4 linked regions of the Macaca mulatta genome follow. The protein of the gene in region 4 interacts with the protein of the main gene of each other region in a pairwise test. Links are inferred from orthologs where the notes say so. Each region holds a gene or a part of one and is shown on either strand. Other genes may lie near its edges. The genes, in order: NUP54, GTF2I, NEU4 and AP2B1.

What was found.
Region 1: the proteins of AP2B1 (region 4) and NUP54 interact in binary tests that used the Homo sapiens proteins (3 or more experiments, as listed by UniProt). The two-hybrid records come from large-scale screens. The link is inferred for Macaca mulatta from reciprocal best matches to the Homo sapiens genes AP2B1 and NUP54.
Region 2: the proteins of AP2B1 (region 4) and GTF2I interact in binary tests that used the Homo sapiens proteins (3 or more experiments, as listed by UniProt). The link is inferred for Macaca mulatta from reciprocal best matches to the Homo sapiens genes AP2B1 and GTF2I.
Region 3: the proteins of AP2B1 (region 4) and NEU4 interact in binary tests that used the Homo sapiens proteins (3 or more experiments, as listed by UniProt). The two-hybrid records come from large-scale screens. The link is inferred for Macaca mulatta from reciprocal best matches to the Homo sapiens genes AP2B1 and NEU4.

What each region holds. Positions count from the first base shown.
Region 1 is NC_133410.1:57,698,614-57,702,554, forward strand, and holds the end of NUP54 (nucleoporin p54), read left to right. Parts: intron 1-72; coding exon 73-183; intron 184-2,336; coding exon 2,337-2,465; 3' UTR 2,466-3,166; downstream 3,167-3,941. UniProt on the Homo sapiens protein: Component of the nuclear pore complex, a complex required for the trafficking across the nuclear membrane.
Region 2 is NC_133408.1:52,148,037-52,153,206, forward strand, and holds the start of GTF2I (general transcription factor II-I), read left to right. Parts: upstream 1-1,648; 5' UTR 1,649-2,078; coding exon 2,079-2,559; intron 2,560-4,649; exon of another isoform or gene 4,650-4,706; intron 4,707-5,170. UniProt on the Homo sapiens protein: Interacts with the basal transcription machinery by coordinating the formation of a multiprotein complex at the C-FOS promoter, and linking specific signal responsive activator complexes.
Region 3 is NC_133417.1:147,099,703-147,103,805, forward strand, and holds the end of NEU4 (sialidase-4), read left to right. Parts: intron 1-141; coding exon 142-348; intron 349-525; coding exon 526-781; intron 782-1,579; coding exon 1,580-2,577; 3' UTR 2,578-2,926; downstream 2,927-4,103. UniProt on the Homo sapiens protein: Exo-alpha-sialidase that catalyzes the hydrolytic cleavage of the terminal sialic acid (N-acetylneuraminic acid, Neu5Ac) of a glycan moiety in the catabolism of glycolipids, glycoproteins and oligosacharides.
Region 4 is NC_133421.1:45,057,395-45,062,636, forward strand, and holds the start of AP2B1 (AP-2 complex subunit beta), read left to right. Parts: upstream 1-1,998; 5' UTR 1,999-2,358; intron 2,359-5,242. UniProt on the Homo sapiens protein: Component of the adaptor protein complex 2 (AP-2). Adaptor protein complexes function in protein transport via transport vesicles in different membrane traffic pathways.

The sequences.
Region 1 (3,941 bases), on a different chromosome or scaffold from region 4:
CCATCCTTAGAAAACATTCTCTTTTACAAGTCTTTATTGGCAGTTGTCATTTGACTCAGTCTTAACTTTTAGGGTCGACTAAATGAATTGATGTCTCAAATCAGGATGCAGAATCATTTTGGAGCAGTCAGATCTGAAGAAAGGTATTACATAGATGCAGATCTGTTACGAGAAATCAAGCAGGTAAGTGTTGTATGAGGGTGTATTATTTAAACTGTGAGCTCACCACTTCACACCTATTAGGATGGTTGTTATCCTAATAAAGAAAAGTGTTGGTGAGAATGTGGAGAAATTGGAACTTTCTTGCAGTGTTGGTAAAATGGTTCAGCCTCTATGAAAAACAGTGTAGTGTTTACTCAAAAAATTAAAGATAGAATTACGATACAATCTCTCAGGTCTACTTATGGATATATACCCAAGTACGTTGGAAGCAGGGACCCAAAACGTATTTGTACACCCATGTTCATAGATCATTATTCACAATAGCCAAAATGTGGTGGTAACCCAAGAGTCAATCAAGGAATAGAGAAACAAAATGTAGTATATATACACACAGTGGAATATTATTCAGCCTTGAAAAAAGAAGGAAATTCTGACACACGCTACAGTGCAATTTGACCTTGAAGAAGTTGTGTTTCATGAAATAAGCCACTCGTAAAAGGGCAAATATTTATGATTTCACTTGTGAAAAGTACCTAGTAGTTCAATTAATAGAGAGTAGAAAGGTGGTTGCCAGGGTGTGAGGGGAGGAGGGGATGGGAGGAACTTAATTGGTACAGAATTTCAACTTGAGATGATGAAAAGTTCTGAACAAAATGGATAGTGTTGATTATTGCACAACAGCATAAGTATACTTAATGCCACTGAACTGTATACTTAAAAATAGTTACAGGCAAAATTTTATGGTGAGCCTGTTTTGCCACAATTTTAAAAAGGTGAAGTATCCCTCTCCTCACCAAAAAGATGAATTTAAGAGGTAATAGAGACACTACAGTTTACTAGACCTTGCTCCTTAAAGTGTAGGCAGTAACCGCACCTGGAAGGTCATTAAAAATGCAAAATTTCAGTCCTTACTCCAGATGTATTCGATCTGCATTTTATCAAGATCATAGAATGATTTGTATGCACTTTAAAGTTTGAGAAGCAACTGCTTTAGATAATACCTTCCCTGCCTATATGTCACACGTAAGTTATAAACATGTTGTTATTGATCTATCCCCTAAGCCCTCAGGAGATCTGGATGGAGGTAGGTTGAGGTGGCCAGAACCTCCAGCCACTCTTCTCGGGTTTTCACCTTGTGTGAAAAAGTTGGGAAACACTGCTTTGGCTTATTTTCATTAGTATAAATGCAGATTGGTTTAATGAAAATGAACAGTTGTATCTAAAGAAAATATATGAAGATGATGAACTTTGTGGAGCATACTAGGTAGCTAATGACTGTTGGCATGGCCCTGAGGATTTTAGATTAAGGTTATAAATGTCATCAACAAATCCAATTTTATTATATGCTTTAGAATGGATATGGCTGGTTTTATGTAACCAAAAACTAGTTTGGCTTCTAGATTCTTGGACATTACACAACCAATTATATTCCATTGTTTTAAGTATTTGCAATAAATTAACAGATTCCAGTATATTGTAATAGTTGTAGGTTGATATATGCAATAAAACTGAATAATTTAAACACTTGTCTTTTTTAAAATGATGAGCAGTGTATTGTTCAGGGATTGAATCATGGTTCACCATCTACTTTATGACCTTGGGTAGGTTATTTACCTGTAGTTTCTTTAACTGTGGATATGATAATGGTACCCCAAAGGGTGCTCAAAAGGATTTTAAATGAGTTGAACAAGTGAATACCAGTACTCACTATTAAAACAGCACCTTAACCCATAAGGAGGAGTCTTTAAAAAATGTTAGCATCTGTAGTCATCATCACCATTATCGCTATATACTTTGTACTTCAAAACATGAATATTCTCAGTTTTCAGAATGTTATTTTGTTAGTCATCTATATTTGAATACCTCCTTTGAGTTCTGTTTTATTATGCCTTTATTAAAAGTTGGTAAAAGGAAATAGCTATCTAAAAAACATTTTTGTTGGAAGATACTGTTCATTTTATATTTGTTTGATTTTATTGTTCTTTAGAGTTTGTCTTTCACTGTTAGCAAAAGATGTAGTACAAATGTTTAAATATGCATGCCCTCTATATTTAAAGCACTTACTAGGTACTGTGTTATTAGTAAAACAGTCAAAGTGGAGTCCTTTTTCCTGTGACTAGCTTGCAGTTTTAATAAATTAATACATTAATATGTTGTTTCTTAATTTGTTCTAGCATTTGAAACAACAACAGGAAGGCCTTAGCCATTTGATTAGCATCATTAAAGATGATCTAGAAGATATAAAGCTGGTCGAACATGGATTGAATGAAACCATCCACATCAGAGGTGGTGTCTTTAGTTGACAGTTCACAAACTTGTGTAAAGGTTTGTGAAATTCATCTTCTTACTGCATCAGCCCTTCCTTAAGAATGAAACCGACCACGTGGAGGGAAAAAGAAAACAATTCTCTCTTGGCTTGGTTTTTTGAGAAGTTTACTGACAAATTACTGTCCATCAAATCTGAAATACAGTCACCTCACAGCTCTTCAAAGAAAACCTTTGAAAGATTTATATCTAAAAGCTGTATTTACTTTAAAAGGAGAAGTGCATAATTACCAAAATTATATGTACTATTGTACATTTTTACAACAGCATTTTCTTGAACATCATCTGTTTAATGATTATTGTCCACTGAGCCTGTGCTCTGCTTTCCATACCAAGTAAATATGAAATAATCTTTGCACATAACAGAAGAAACTATAATTACTTGGCTGTTGGAGATTTGTACTTCAGAGTATAAATGTACACCAGTTTTTCTATTTGTGAACTCATCTGTGGGAGGAGTAAAGAAAATCCAAAAGCATTTAATGTTTTTTTTTTGTTCTATAAAGATTTGAAAATGTATTTTTATATTATTTTACTTATTTGGAATTTACAGAGCACACCTAAGCAATTAGGATATAACAAAATTAACCATTTTTGCAACCATTTTGTTTTTTAAGCCTTTTTATTTCTAAAAAGATGAAAACTTATAAATAAATTCTTAATTTGTAATTTTATAAAATTTTGTCTGGTGCTTTATTTGGCTTTTGAGGAATGACCATTTTTTGTCCACATAGGTACTAAATTAATAATCACAATTCAGGAATTTTAGTCTTAAGTCTGATTTTTCCCTCCTAGGGATTTTTGTCAGTGCTGATATAATCAGCACAATTTGATTAGGGTATGGCAAATAAAACTTACTTCAGATATCATCTAGTATTAAGAATTCCCTAATACGTCATTAATATTTGAAATACTAGAAAATCTGAGTTAAACAGATTAAATAGTGTTAAATAGTGGGTCTTTAACCAGTGGGTCATTTTAAACAGTATTTCTGACTACACACTGTATGTTTGGGCTGCATCATGTTTGCCGCTCTTGAGATGCTTTAACTTTGCACTTCTCTGTGATGCTTTGGTTTATATTGACAGGTGTTACAAGTAACAGCCCCATGAATCTTGGTATTGTATTTACTATGGGGATGGTGAACAGTGTGATGCACTGTATATCTGGAGTCCATCCTCTGAGAACCCACTGAAGAGATTTATGCTCAGTTGTATAGGTTACAGTTGTGTAGACTAGGATATTTTGTGGTTTTTGTTTGTTTGTTTGTTTGACAAGTCTCTCTGTCACCCAGGCTGGCGTACAGTGGCATAATCATGACTCACTGCAGCCTTGACCTCCTGGGCTTAAGCAGTTCTCCCACCTCAGACTCGAGTAACTGGGACTACAGGCATGCACCACCACAATGGGCTAATATTTTTTATTTTGTGTAGAGATGGGGTCTTGCTATGTTG
Region 2 (5,170 bases), on a different chromosome or scaffold from region 4:
GTAGAGACAGGGTTTCACCATGTTAGCCAGGATGGTCTTGATCTGCTGACCTTATGATCCGCCCATCTCGTCCTCCCAAAGCGCTGGGATTACAGGCGTGAGCCACTGTGCCCAGCTGCAAATGCTACTTTCTCCATGAAAAATTGTCTGCTTTGTGTGTAGCTTTCTTGTGCCATCTTGACACATTTACCTGAGTGCATATTGTATTTGATTCATTTGTCATATCTGCTTGAATCAGATGGTTATTACTGGTGAATGGACAACAGTAGTTAAGAATTCAGGCTTTGGATCCGAGCAGGTTTAGACCAAAATCTGATTGTGCCATCTGTGTATCCCAGGCTGAGTACTGAGCCTTTCTGAGCCTCTTTAGCATGGGAGTGGAGGGGCATTCGGTGCACTTGCCACAGAGGCAGCAAGCAATGAGATAATCTATTAAGTGTCGAGCCTGGTGCGTGGCTCTGAAGGACTGCTCAATACATGTGAGCCATGATCACACATTTCTGGAGGGCACAGATGGTCTTGCAGGCTTTCCAGAATATAGTAGGTGTTCAGATTCTTTCCTGATACTCATTGGTGCCCCTCACTTCCTTCCATTATCCGGGTCAGACTGAGTTCATCTGGGATTGGAAAACACAGCAGGCTGGTATGAATGAAGTCAGCCTACAGCCCCAGGTACAAGCCAGAGCTTGGTCAGCCCCCTCCCTAGGTTTAGGGGGAAGGGAATGGATAATTAACACCTTCTCACTGCTGGGAAAACAATGAAAAGTACTTGTTACACTGATAATGGGTTAATTTCTTTTTCTCTTTTCTTTTTTTCAGACAGTTTCACTCTGTTGCCCAGGCTGGAGTGCAGTGGCATGATCTCAGCTCACTGCAACCTCCACCTCCCGGGTTTAGGCGATTCTCCTGCCTCAGCCTCCCAAGTAACTGGGATTACAGGCACCTGCCACCATGCCCGGCTAATTATTGTATTTCTAGTAAAGACGGGGTTTCACCATGTTGGCCAGGCTGGTCTTGAACTCCTGACCTCAGATGATCCAGCCGCCTTGGCCTCCCAAAGCGCTGGGATTACAGGTGCGAACCACCGCGCCCAGCCAGATGGTGGGTTAATTTCACTTTGAACAGCATCGTTCTGATTGGCTTTCCCTCCCCCTTCCAACCCATTGTTCAAAAATTCCCTTTATTCTTTGATGAAAACTTCCCCAAGTGGGTCATCTACCTTAAGTATACTAAACACCAGGTCTTGAAGGGGTTAAAAAAGGCTGCTATGATTCACCAGAAAAAGAGGAAAGGCTTGGTAAACGCAATGCTAAAGAATCAAGAAACTGGTGGTTAAGTCCACGGTGGAAACAAAAAGAGAAAAGGAAGGATGCAGGTATTTGTTGTCAGCATTTAACCTAGATTTTTCATCTCTTGATTTTATGATTATGTTGCAAGGCTATAGGTTGTCTCTATTATATATATCTATAGATATAGTCATATGGAATTGTTCTAACATCTATAACAATATACTGTAATAAAAGTTATGTGACTATGGTCTGTCTCCGTCTCTCTCTCAAAAATATCTTCTTGTACTGAACATAGCTATTTTTGGACCGCGGTTGACCGTGGGTAACTGAAACTGCAGAAAGCGAAACTGCAGATAAGAGGGGGAACTACGGTAGACGCCTCCCACCCGTTAGTCACTTGGGAGCCGTCTGGGTTATCAGATCGACTGTCTGCAAGTATTGCAGTGTTTGTGTTCAAGTCACCCTTTTCTTTTTTTTTTTTTTGAGACGGAGTCTCGCTCTGTCACCCAGGCTGGAGTGCGGTGGCCGGATCTCAGCTCACTGCAAGCTCCGCCTCCCGGGTTCACGCCATTCTCCTGCCTCAGCCTCCCGAGTAGCTGGGACTATAGGCGCCCGCCACCTCGCCCGGCTAGTTTTTTGTATTTTTCAGTAGAGACGGGGTTTCACCGTGTTAGCCAGGATGGTCTCGATCTCCTGACCTCGTGATCCGCCCGTCTCGGCCTCCCAAAGTGCTGGGATTACAGGCGTGAGCCACCACGCCCGGCCAAGTCACCCTTATTTTCTATCATAATGGCCCCAAAGCACAAGAGTAGTGATGCTGGGAATTTGGACAGGCCAAAGAGAAGCCGTAAAGTGCTCCCTCTAAGTGAAAAGGTGAAAGTTCTCGACTTAATCAGGAAAGAAAAAAAATCCTATGCTGAGGTTGCTAAGATCTACGGGAAGAATGAATCTTCCATCCGTGAAATTGTGAAGAAGGAAAAAGAAATTCGTGCTAGTTTTGCTGTCTCACCTCCAACTGCTAAAGTGACGGCCACGGTGCGTGATAAGTGCTTAGTTAAGATGGAACAGGCACTGCATTTGTGGGTGGAAGAGATGAACAGAAAACGTGTTCCCATTGACAGCAACGTGTTGTGCCAGAAAGCCTTGAGCCTATACCAAGACTTCAGCAAGGGATGCTCTGAAACTGACACCAAGCCATTTACTGCGAGTAAGGGATGGTTACACAGATTCAGGCATAGATTCTCACATCATTACAAGAAGAAGAAGAAGGGTGAGTACAGTACAAGTTATTTTGAGAGAGAGAGAGAGAGATCACATTCACCTCAGTACTTGCTATACTTGTTCCATTTTGTTATCATTGCTGTTAACTTCTTCCTGTGCCTAGTTGGATTTGGTATTATCCAAGGTTTCAGGCATCCACTGGCAGTCTCGGAATGTGTCCCCCACAGAAACAGGGGACTACTGTATTCACTCTCTCTCTCTCTTTTTAAATTTTTATTGTAGGTTCATGGGTACATATGCAGGTTTATTATACAGGTAAACTCGTGTCACCGGGGTTTGTTGTACAGATTATTTTGCCACCCGCGTACTAAGCCTATCCAATAGTTATTTTTTTTCTGCTCCTCATCCTTCTCCCACTGAGGCGGGCGGATCACCTGAGGTTGGGAGTTCGAGATCAGCCTGACCAACATGGAGAAACCCCGTCTCTACTAAAAATACAAAATTAGCCAGGCATGGTGGCGCATGGCTGTAATCCCAGCTACTCGGGAGGCTGAGGCAGGAGAATTGCTTGAACCCAGGAGGCAAAGGTTGCAGTAAGCCGAGATCGCGCCATTGCACTCCAGCCTGGGCAACAAGAGCGAAACTCTGTCTCAAAAAAAAAAAGAAAAGAAAAGAAAAGAAAAGAAACATGGAACATGGACTTTTTTCATATTTTTAAAAAGTTTTGAATGCTAAATAATACCATCTAATATTTATATAACACGTACCCAAGTTCATAAAGTATTTTCATCTACGTATCATCTGATTTCCCCAAATCCCTGAAGGAGGCAGAGAAAATACTATAGAGGTTTTATTTTTAACAACTTAAATTTAGAGCTTTATATTTAAAAACTTAAATTTAAAAACTTTAAAAAACGACAATGTTAACATAATCCTAAATAGCAGATAAAATTCATCTAAATCCTGCTACCCCAACAAAGAAAACTGTTTATTTCAACTGGTGCAACATGAATATTCGTTTTACTGTGTCGGCCAGATGCTCACACAAAAGGCAGAGCTAGAGCTGGAAGGTCTATTTAGATCACATCTACATTATTAATTGTTATGAATAAATTATAACTTGGATTTAGGTTTTTTTTTTTCCACCTTTGGATGAATTCTAAGAACCATACATACTGGAAAAGATAGTCATTCATTCAGGATTCAAATTATTCAAACAAAAAACCGTTCAAAAACAGTGTTTTATAATCAGTATTAAAAAATATCATTGTGGTTGGATATGCTGGCTCATGCCTGTAATCCCAGCACTTTGGGAGGCCGAGGCGGGCAGATTATGAGGTCAGGAGTTCAAGACCAGCTTGACCAACATGGTGAAACCCTGTCTCTACTAAAAATACAAAAATTAGCTGAGTCTGGTGGCACACGCCTATAATCCTAGCTACTCGGAAGACTGAGACAGGAGAATCACTTGAACCCGGGAGCCAAGATTGCGCCATTGCACTCCAGCCTGGGCAACAGAGTGAGACTCAGTCTCAAAAAAAAAAGTATCATTGTAAGAACAAAGGAGTTATCTGCTAGAGTGTAGATACACATGTGACAGCCAAAGAGGTCTTGTGACCCTACTGAAGTGATCCGGGCAGGATTGTGCAAATCATAAATTGGAACAATGTCTACAGGATCAAAGTATTATCTTACAAATGATATTTTACATTCTGTTCTCAATATAAAGAATGTATAGTGTACTATGTACATTGTAAAGAAAAACCAAGAAATTGGACTTAGAAGATATTGGGCCTGTATCAATCAGAGTTCAACGAAAAAGACCTCTGGTATTCATCAAAAGTCATGCTCTGCTGTGGAATACAGATCTGTCAAGAGTATCTGGGCCAGGCCTGGTGGCTCACACCTGTAATCCCAGCACTTTGGGAGGCTGAGGTAGGCGGATCTCTTGAGCCCAGGAGTCCAAGACCAGCCTGGGCAACACGGTGAAACCCTGTCTCTACTAAAAATACAAAAAATTAGCTGAGTGTGGTGGTGTGCACCTGTAGTCCCAGCCATTTGGGAGGCTGAAGTGGGAGGACTGTTTGAGCCTGGGAGTTTGAGGCTGCAGTGAACCGAGATCTCGCCACTCTACGCCAGCCTGGACAACTGGAGTGAGAGATCCTGTCTCAAAACAAAAAGCAGAAAACAGAAAAACAGAGTATCTGAACTTTCACCAGAATTATGGTTTTGGGCAATCTGAAATATATGACTGAGGGCTGGGCACAGTGGCTGAAATGCAGTGGCAGCACTTTGGGAGTCCGAGGTGGATGGATCACCTGGGGTTAGGAGTTTGAGACCAGCCTGGCCAATATGACCAACATGGTGAAACCCCGTTTCTACTAAAAATCCAAAAATTAACCAGGTGTGGTGGTATGCACCTATAATCCCAGCTACTCGAGGGCCTGAGGCAGGAGAACCGCTTGAACCTGGGAGGTGGAGGTTGTGGTGAGCGGAGCTTGTGCCACCTCACTCCAGCCTGTGCGGCAGAGTAAGACTCTGTCAAAAATAATAATAATAAATAAATAAATAAATAAATAAAATAGAATGTATGAGAGAGGGTGGGTACAAGTGCTCATGCCTGTAATCATAGCACTTTGGAAGGCTGAGGCAGGAGGATT
Region 3 (4,103 bases), on a different chromosome or scaffold from region 4:
GGTGAGGGAGTCAGAAACAGGCCTGACCCCAAGGTGGGTACAGGAAGAGCCCTAGGTGTGGGCAGGAGCTGTCTGCACCTCCTGAGCCCCTTCCCCACTCCCTGGGCCTGCCTTGCTGACCTGTGGCCCTGTACTGACCAGCAGAGCATGGGGGCCCCTCATACCCCTTCACGGACAGTGCTCTTTGAGCGGGAGAGGACCGGCCTGACCTACCGCGTGCCCTCGCTGCTCCCTGTGCCCCCCGGGCCCACCCTGCTGGCCTTTGTGGAGCAGCGGCTCAGCCCCGATGACTCCCATGCCCACCGCCTGGTGCTGAGGAGGGGCACGCGGGCCGGGGGCTCCGTGCGGGTGAGTGGCCGGGCCCACTGGGGCTGCACACCCAGGGACAGGGGCGGGGGTGGCGGTGGCAGGCGGGTGCCCGAGATAGAGATGAGCAAACCAGGCTCAGCTGTCTCGGGTGCCCCACGGGGGGCTGTGCCCAGGTCCCTGGACATCCTAGTCAGTGGCACTTCCTCCTCTGGGCAGTGGGGCGCCCTGCAGGTGCTGGGGACAGCAGCCCTGGCAGAGCACCGGTCCATGAACCCCTGCCCCGTGCACGACACTGGCACAGGCACCGTCTTCCTCTTCTTCATCGCGGTGCTGGGCCACACGCCCGAGGCCGTGCAGATCGCCACGGGAAGGAACGCCGCACGCCTCTGCTACGTGGCCAGCCGTGACGCCGGCCTCTCGTGGGGCAGCGCCCGGGACCTCACCGAGGAGGCCATTGGTGGTGCCGTGCAGGGTAGGCGGGCAGGGTGCCAGTCTGGGTCCCTCGGATTGGCCACGGTCCACATGGAAGGGAGATTCCAGCTGGAAATGTCCATTCTGCCCCACCCCCGCCCCTGCCTCCAGCCATAAGGGAACCAACCAGCCCTCTCCCCAGGACTGTCCTGGGCCTCCCGTCCCAGGCAAATGGGTACTGGTCGCCACCCAGTCCATCCGGTGGGCAGGAGCAGGCCCTCTATGGCTGATCAGACTCTCATCCCCCCAGGTCATCCCTTTATCTGCAGAGGAGAAGGCTGAATGCTGAGGTGTCTCTCAGCTCCCAAACCAACAGCCACCCTGCCCCACCCCTTCCTCTTATTCTTTACTCCCTTCTCACCCCGCCTAGGGCCTGGCCAGGCCTCGCCACAGCTTTCCCTCCACCCCGTCCTCTGTGGCCACCTGACCCTGGCCTGTGGGAGCCACAGCAGGGAGTGGAGCAGATACATGGCGGAGCCCAGGACCCCACCGCAGGGCCTCACTCCCCCTGCCCGCCCTCCGCTGTATCTGTATGGGCAGTGCTCGCCAGCCTCCCTGGGTGCTGTCCACCTGGGCGCGGGGGCTAAGGGCTGGGAGAGGCTTGTCAGCCTGGGAGGACTCAGGGCGGCTGCAATGAGTTGTGTGGAAGGGTGGTCAGAGTGTGATGGTCCTAACCCGAGGCACCAGCCCCTCCTTCCCCGACCCCTGTGCCTTCCCCGACCCCTGTGCCTTCCTCCATCCGCCCCCCCCAACCTCGGGGACTCAGCAGCCCCTCCCACCTCCGCCCTCCTCCCCACAGACTGGGCCACGTTCGCCGTGGGTCCCGGCCACGGCGTGCAGCTGCCCTCAGGCCGCCTGCTGGTGCCCGCCTACACCTACCGCGTGGACCGCCGAGAGTGTTTTGGCAAGATCTGCCGGACCAGCCCCCACTCCTTCGCCTTCTACAGCGATGACCACGGCCGCACCTGGCGCTGTGGAGGCCTCGTGCCCAACCTGCGCTCGGGCGAGTGCCAGCTGGCGGCAGTGGATGGTGGACAGGCCGGCAGCTTCCTCTACTGCAATGCCCGGAGCACCCTGGGCAGCCGCGTGCAGGCACTCAGCACTGACGAGGGCACCTCCTTCCTGCCCGCAGAGCGTGTGGCTTCCCTGCCTGAGACCGCCTGGGGCTGCCAGGGCAGCATCGTGGGCTTCCCAGCCCCCGCCCCCAGCAGGCCACGGGATGACGGTTGGTCAGTGGGCCCCGGGAGTCCCCTTCACCCTCCACGCCTTGGTCCTGGAGTCCATGAACCCCCAGAGGAGGCTGCCGGAGACCCCCATGGAGCCCAGGTGCCTGGTGGGCCCTGCAGCCATCTGCAGCCTCAGGGGGATGGCCCCAGGCAGCCTGGCCCCAGGCCTGGGGTCAGTGGGGATGTGGGGTCCTGGACCCTAGCGCTCCCCATGCCCTTTGCTGCCCCACCCCAGAGCCCCACGTGGCTGCTGTACTCCCACCCAGTGGGGCGCAGGGCTCGGCTGCACATGGGTATCCGGCTGAGCCAGGCCCCGCTGGACCCGCACAGCTGGACAGAGCCCTGGGTGATCTACGAGGGCCCCAGCGGCTACTCCGACCTGGCGTCCGTCGGGCCGGCCCCTGAGGGGGGCCTGGTTTTTGCCTGCCTGTACGAGAGTGGGGCCAGGACCTCCTATGATGAGATTTCCTTTTGCACATTCTCCCTACGTGAGGTCCTGGAGAACGTGCCCACCAGCCCCGAGCCGCCCAACCTTGGGGACAAGCCTCGGGGGTGCTGCTGGCCCTCCTGACAGGCCTTCTGGCCGTGCCCATGCCCCTTGGGTGCCTGGGGCAGAGGGGTGGAATATGCTGGGGTGCCCCAGGATGGATGTGGGGGGGCTCTTAGTGCAGAATCCTGTGGATTAGAAGCAAGTTTCTCCTCAGAGTTCTCAAGCAGGGGTTGCTCTTCGAGAAGGGGAACAGCGGCTGGGAGTGAGCAGGGCAGGGTAGGGGCAGGAAGTGGGCCCTGGGCGACCCCCCACAGCTCCCTCCCGAGGCTGCAGGGTCAGGCGCAGGACTGCAGGTAGCCCAGGGTGTTGTGGGTGGCAGCACTTGCTTGCTGGCTGCTTTCTGGCTCGAAATAAAGGAATCGTGCTTGTGTCGGGGTAGACGTTTCTTTCCTTTTCAGGTTCCAGCCCTGGGGAAGGGAGCTCTGCTCTAACCCGCTTCTCTGACCCTCATCCCAAAATCTCATTGCCTTGGCAAAGCTCTGCTTCTAAACATCCCGGGGCCAGCAGAGGGAGGGCAGGAGGGAGGAAGCGGCTTCCACCCTTGGCCTCCTGTGCGGTGATTTGCAAGTGGTCTGCCGCACTCTCTGAACTTCCTACCAGAGGAGTAGGAGGTAGGGCCTCTCCCCGCAGAGCTGGACACCAGGAGGGGGTCACCTTCCAGGACCAGCCCTGTGTCCCGCTCCCCTGACCCCACCCTGCAGAGGGCTTGGGCACCACTGGGGCTGTTTCCCCAGGGAAGTTCCTTTTTATTTATTCTCCTTTTAAAGTCTTAATTTCTGATGACAAAAGCAATATGTGCTTACTGTAGAAAATCTGGAAAATGAGCCGGGCACAGTGGCTCACGCCTATAATCCCAGCACTTTGGGAGGTCGAGGCAGGTGGATCACCTGAGGTCAGGAATTCGAGACCAGCTTGGCCAACGTGGTGAAATCTCGTCTCTACTAAAAATACAAAAATTAGCTGGGCATCGTGGTGGGCACCTGTAATCTCAGCTACTTGGGAGGCTGAGGCAGGAGAATCACTTTAACCTAGGAGGCGGAGGTTGCAGTGAGCCAAGATTGTGCCACTGCACTCCAGCCTGGGCGACAGAGTGAGACTCAAAAAAAAAAAAAAAAAAAAAAAGAAAGAAAGAAAGAAAAAAAGAAAATCTGGAAAATGTAGAAAGCTATAAAGAAAATATAAAGAAAAAATAGAAGTGAGCCCTGGGCCCCTCTCTCCACGGGCCCTTCCTTCTGGCTTCAAGTGCTCCTGCCCAGCCTGCTGCCACACCCGTGGACGACGGCCCGGCCGGGGGGTGCACACGTGTGCCACCTTCTTCCTGGCCCTGAATTGTGTGTGATGGGCTTCTTTGCGTGTCTCTGGGTCTGGTCACCCTTTGGGCTGGCTTCGGTGACCATTCCCAAGGGCGGGGACCCACGGCCAGCCCCCAGCAGTGAGGGGCATCCGGGTGGTCTCTGAGTCGCCGAAGGTCCCCAGGGGAGCAGAGATGACCTCCCCTTGCGGCCCCCTTTTCCCCAGCAACTACTCTGCTGGGAGGGCTCCTGCCT
Region 4 (5,242 bases):
AGGTAGGTAGTGAGGATGTAAAAATGTACTTAGCAGAGTAACTGACATAAAATCATACTCAATAAATATCAACAGTTACTTGTTTAAACCACCATCATCATGTGGCTGGATCATTTCAACAGTTTCTTGAGTGATCTCCCATTAGATTATGAGCCCGTGATGGTCCCAAAAGGTGAAAAGAAGGGAGATTGGTCAATACTTTCACCTAAAAGTGGAAGAGAATGAGGTTGGAAAAGCTTTTCGATTGATGCTGTATTTTGAAAATAGCATTGGTTCATTTTTCCTTAAAATATATGCATTTTTCAGAGAAAGGATTGGAAAATAAAACAAATATAAAGAAGATAACATTTGTAATCAGCACCCAGAGAGAACCACTAATAGGTATATATACGCCTCTGGATTTAGAGTTTTGTATCTTTCTTTTATTCTTATCATTTCAAAGCATTTTTCTGTATCATATTTTTCAACAATATGATTTAAAAGGCACATCCCAATCATATAAATAAATACATGTTCATTGTATTTGAAAAGTACAGAAAAATATTAGGAAGAAAAGTAAAACTCTCACTATTCCGCAATAACCACTTTTAACATTGTGCTGAATATCCAAGCTTTTTTTTTTTTTTTTTTTTTTTTTTTGAGACGAGTCTGGTTTTGTTACCCAGGCTGGAGTGCAGTGGCGAGATCTTGGCTCACTGCAACCTCCACCTCCTGGGATCACGTCATTCTCCTGCTTCAGCCTCCTGAGTAGCCGGGATTATAGGCATGTGCCACCACACCAGCTAATTTTTGTTTTTTCAGTAGAGACGGGGTTTCACCACATTGGCCAGGCTGGTCTCAAACTCTTGACCTCAGGTGATCTGCCCACCTCAGTCTCCTAAAGGGCTGGGATTACAGGTGTGAGCCACCATGACTGGCCTATCCTAGCCTTTTTTTTCTATACATATATAGTCATACCATATACTATATTGTTTTGTATCCTATTTTTACTTAACACTTTATGAATTTTCTGTCATAAAATATTCTATAACATTATGCAGCTATCTGATTTACCATAAGTGTTTACATTATCTCTCTTTATACCTGGCTTTCCAATTTCCCCTATTCCTCTATTTTAATAACAGGAAATAATAATACATGAGTATGTTATACAAAATTTTAATGTACTTCTGATCACTTTTTTAAGAATGAAGTTTTAAAATACTTAAACACTTTCTGACTCACAGAGTTCATGGGCAAAATGTGAGAAAAATAAATAATCACTTTGCTCTCCATCCTTCCTTACACCCTGAAATTAACCTTAGGGACAGCTAGTTCATTTAACCTCATCAATCTTGTTCTCCAGTTCCAGGTCCTGGAATCTAGGTCTTAGTTTCCGAAAGAAACTTACTTTTGTGTAAGCACACCTATTATATACTAGGCACTTGACCTAATTTATCTGGTTTACGCTTCACATGCCCGAGAGAGATACTATCATTGTCTTCATTTCACAGATAAGAAGATTGAGGAGACATTAACTTTCCCAGTCACATTCAGGGTAGGGATTCAAACTCACATCCAATGCCTCCTCAACCTCTTTTACCTGCACCACTATCCTCTAGCCCCACTGCCCGTATATAGCCCTGGGTTATATCACCATTGTCCGCTCTTGAGCCTGGAAGGAAAATGAGCTGAGGGGTTTTGTTTTTTCACAAAGGAACAGGATATTTCATCATCTCTGTGTTTACGTTTTTCAGAGAATTTCTGTGCGAGGTAACAAATCCATTGTCAGCGTTTTAAATATATTCCTTTGGAGTAGCCACTTAACATCCTCTGAGGCCCAGATGGGCCAGCTTTGCTGGGACCATGGGAAATGTTTGGGGCTGGAAGGCGACAGAGATTACCGCCTTGCTAGGTCTCCCGCGCACCCCGATGACGTCACGCGGCGAGGTTCTCTGACGTCAGAGTTTCCTGCCCACCATCTTTGTCCCTGGCAAAGTGGGTTTTGCGCAGTGGCTTAGACCTAGAAAAGAATCGTGACGGGCAGGAAACCATTACACCACCACCCGGGCTGTGCTCTCCGGCTCCCGCCGCCACCCCCGCCCTCGACTTCGCCTCCGCCTCCGGTGAGTTCAGGGAGGCTGCCTTTGGGGTGTGTCCCTAATTGACGGGGTGGGGGACGAAAAGAAGGGGAACCCCAGGCTGGGTCGAGGACCGGCGGAAGCGAGGATATCCTAAGAGCGTGACCGTTGAGGATACAGGGAACCGTCGGGTGTGACCAGTGAGAGGAAAAAGGTTGGAGAAAGGGTCTCCACCATGATGACTGTGGTGCGGTGAGGGAATCCTCGGGTGTGGCAGCAAGTAGTTGGGGGCATGAGGGTAAGATGTACTTCGGAATTGGGGGTTTAGGAGGACCAGAGGCCAGGGGTGTGGCTGATAGAGCCTGGAGGCCGTGGGGGGAACCGTCTTTCTTCCCCGCTCGGCGTCGTTCACTAAGAGTCACTAAGAGTCTGAGACGTGTCCAGCAAAAGCGAAAGGGAAAAACCCGTTTGCTCATTGATGGGCGAACGTCGTCTGTCCAGTAACTTGAGGGTAAGAGACAACCTCTTCCCTGCTCCGTAATGGAGGAGCATATCGCTAGAATCTTGACCACTTGGGGAAAGAAGAGGCATTCCTGACTCTTGGAGGAAGAGTAACCTCCAGAATTGACCCGATGTAAGAGAGGGGGAAGCAAATGGGGGTAAATCTTAACCCACCTTTTTTTTTTTTTTTTCTTCTTTTTCTGGGCTCTGCGGGAATGGTCTGGCTTGGGAAAGGCTGTAGATTAAGCTGAAAGTAAAGAAACTGGAACTTACTGTTATTTCCTTATCATTTGAATCCAAATAATTTGTTCATGCTGCTTATTTTCAAGAGCAGTCTTCTGTTGGAGGGGTGGGGTGGGGGGACAGGCTTTCATTGAACTCACGCGGATGCTTCATTAAACGTTTGACTTTTATTTTATTTTATTTTTATATTTTCAGTGACAGGGTCTTACTGTGTTGCCCAGTCTAGTCTAGAACCCCTGGGCTCAAGCGATCCTCCCTATTCGGCCTCCCACAGTGCTGTGATTACAGGCGTGAGCCAGAGCGCCCAGCCAAACTTGACTTTTGAAAAGAAAAAATGTTTTGAAAACCGCCAAAGACTTATCGTAACCATTGTGGTTTAAAAGAAAATGCATTAAACTTACAAAGGCAGAATGACTAAGAAAGAAGGTGGTCTCAATGAGAATCAATTTAAATTATTAATTACCTTCCTTGTATACTTGAATTGCTTAGCCTCAGGGTACACTTACAAAGTAATAATAGAAAGTAGCAGATGAAGGAGGTGCAGCTCTATAAGAAAACGTGTAACACATTCCAGTGATGACTAAGCGTGCTGGTAAGGTGAGAACTGTTTGCAGGTATCTTAACCGTTGAAACTTTCAAGGAAGCAGAAAGGGTGATGTATAATGCAAGCATCCTCACTAAAAGCTGGGTGGTAAAATCAATATAAATCTAATATTCTGACTGTATATGAAGAAACTCAAGTCCAGTTCTTTCATTCTTTCCGTCCTTAAAAGATCCATATTTTGAAGTACTAACTTTTTAGGCACAGGTTTGAACCAAGCTGAGCAAGGAATATATTAAATAGGGCACCTTCTCCTTTCTCTTGTCCTTTCTTTCCTTCCAGGCTTAAGTTTTCCAGAGTTTAATGTTATTTTGGTTAAGAATTAGATGTAAAACTTTTGAACTCCTTTGCTTCTATATAATATTAAGAAGCTACTTTGTAGTCTAAGTAGAAATCACAGGTGATTTTAGCTTTTGTGTCGTAATTTCTTATGAGAAAAATAATACCTGATGATGCTATTGTCTTTGCATTATTACTGAATATTTGATTAGAAATGAATTTGGCACCTCTCACCCTTACAATAAAAGATTACTGGAATGACATTTCTGCTTTATAATTTGGTTAACTTTGTTCTGTTTTTTACTGTGAGCACTGAGCTTTGTAAAATCCAACTTTGTGAAAAGAAGGGTTTAGGGACTTTACGAACTAATTTGGCTTCCCAGAGAGCCATTTGAATTAAGATCCTATTAATTTTTTTTGACCTTATTCTACCCAAGGTATTAATCTTATTTTGCTGCTCAATTTCTCTTTTAGGGAACTGGAGGGAGGTATAGGAGAGGAGGGACTTTGACAACCTATATTTCATAGAAACTAGGTTATGTTAAATCTGGATATGTAATCCTGTGCAGGGAGGCCTACTCCGAAATGCAGTGACATCACACTCTGGTCAGGGCAAGTAAGAGTGATTATGTGCTTTGACTCTGGCAGCTTTGTTGTTTAACAATGGCCTTAGGCCATATCATAAATCCTCAGAACAGCCGTGACTTGTCTGGTTTGATCTGGTAGAAAGGTAGTGTTAGTTCAAATTCCGTCATGGCTTTGCTTATTTCTCTGGCTCTTCTGAAGGAACATTTTCTCCCCCAAAGGAGCAGCTTGATTTTTGAGGCACTTCAGCAAATATTTGAGTTTTTTTGTTTTTTTTTTTCTTGAGCTCTATTTTGTTTACTTTTTCTGTTACTTCTAATGAAGATGTCAGTTTTTGCCATCCTGTATTTTGGAGACTCTGGCTATGTCCATATCTAGCATGTGATTAAATGTGTCTCTCATTATATGAGGTAAGAACTCACTATATGAGAGATACACTTAATCATATATATGTGATTATTTTTTTGAGGTGAAATTCACGTACCATAAAATGAACCAGCTTAAGGCATACAGTTCAGTGGAATTTAGTACACTGACAGTGTTGTGCAACAATCACGTCTTCTATTTGTTTTTATTTAGACGATTTTCATTTTTCTTGGAGTTTCTTTTGGCTTAAGGCAACAACCAGCTTGGCACCATGTTTCTCTGCCAATATGGATAGGGAATATTGTTTACAATAGTGTTGCTTACTACAGTGATATCCCTTCTCTTTAGAGCAGCAGGGACTCTTAATTTAGAATCTATGTTATGGGCTTCTAAAGATACTTGACCCTCCTCTCTTCCCTGAAATTTTGTGGGTGGGTGCATTATTTTCTAGTTAAGATGAAAACACTTAATGCTCACAGTGAACAGGACAGTAATATATTCCTTGACATTGAAATTGTTACAGATAATGAAATATGTGAGCTGTTAAAGGCATGACTTAAGACTTAGGTTAATTTATTGTTTAATAGAATGTAGTGAAAATTCCTGT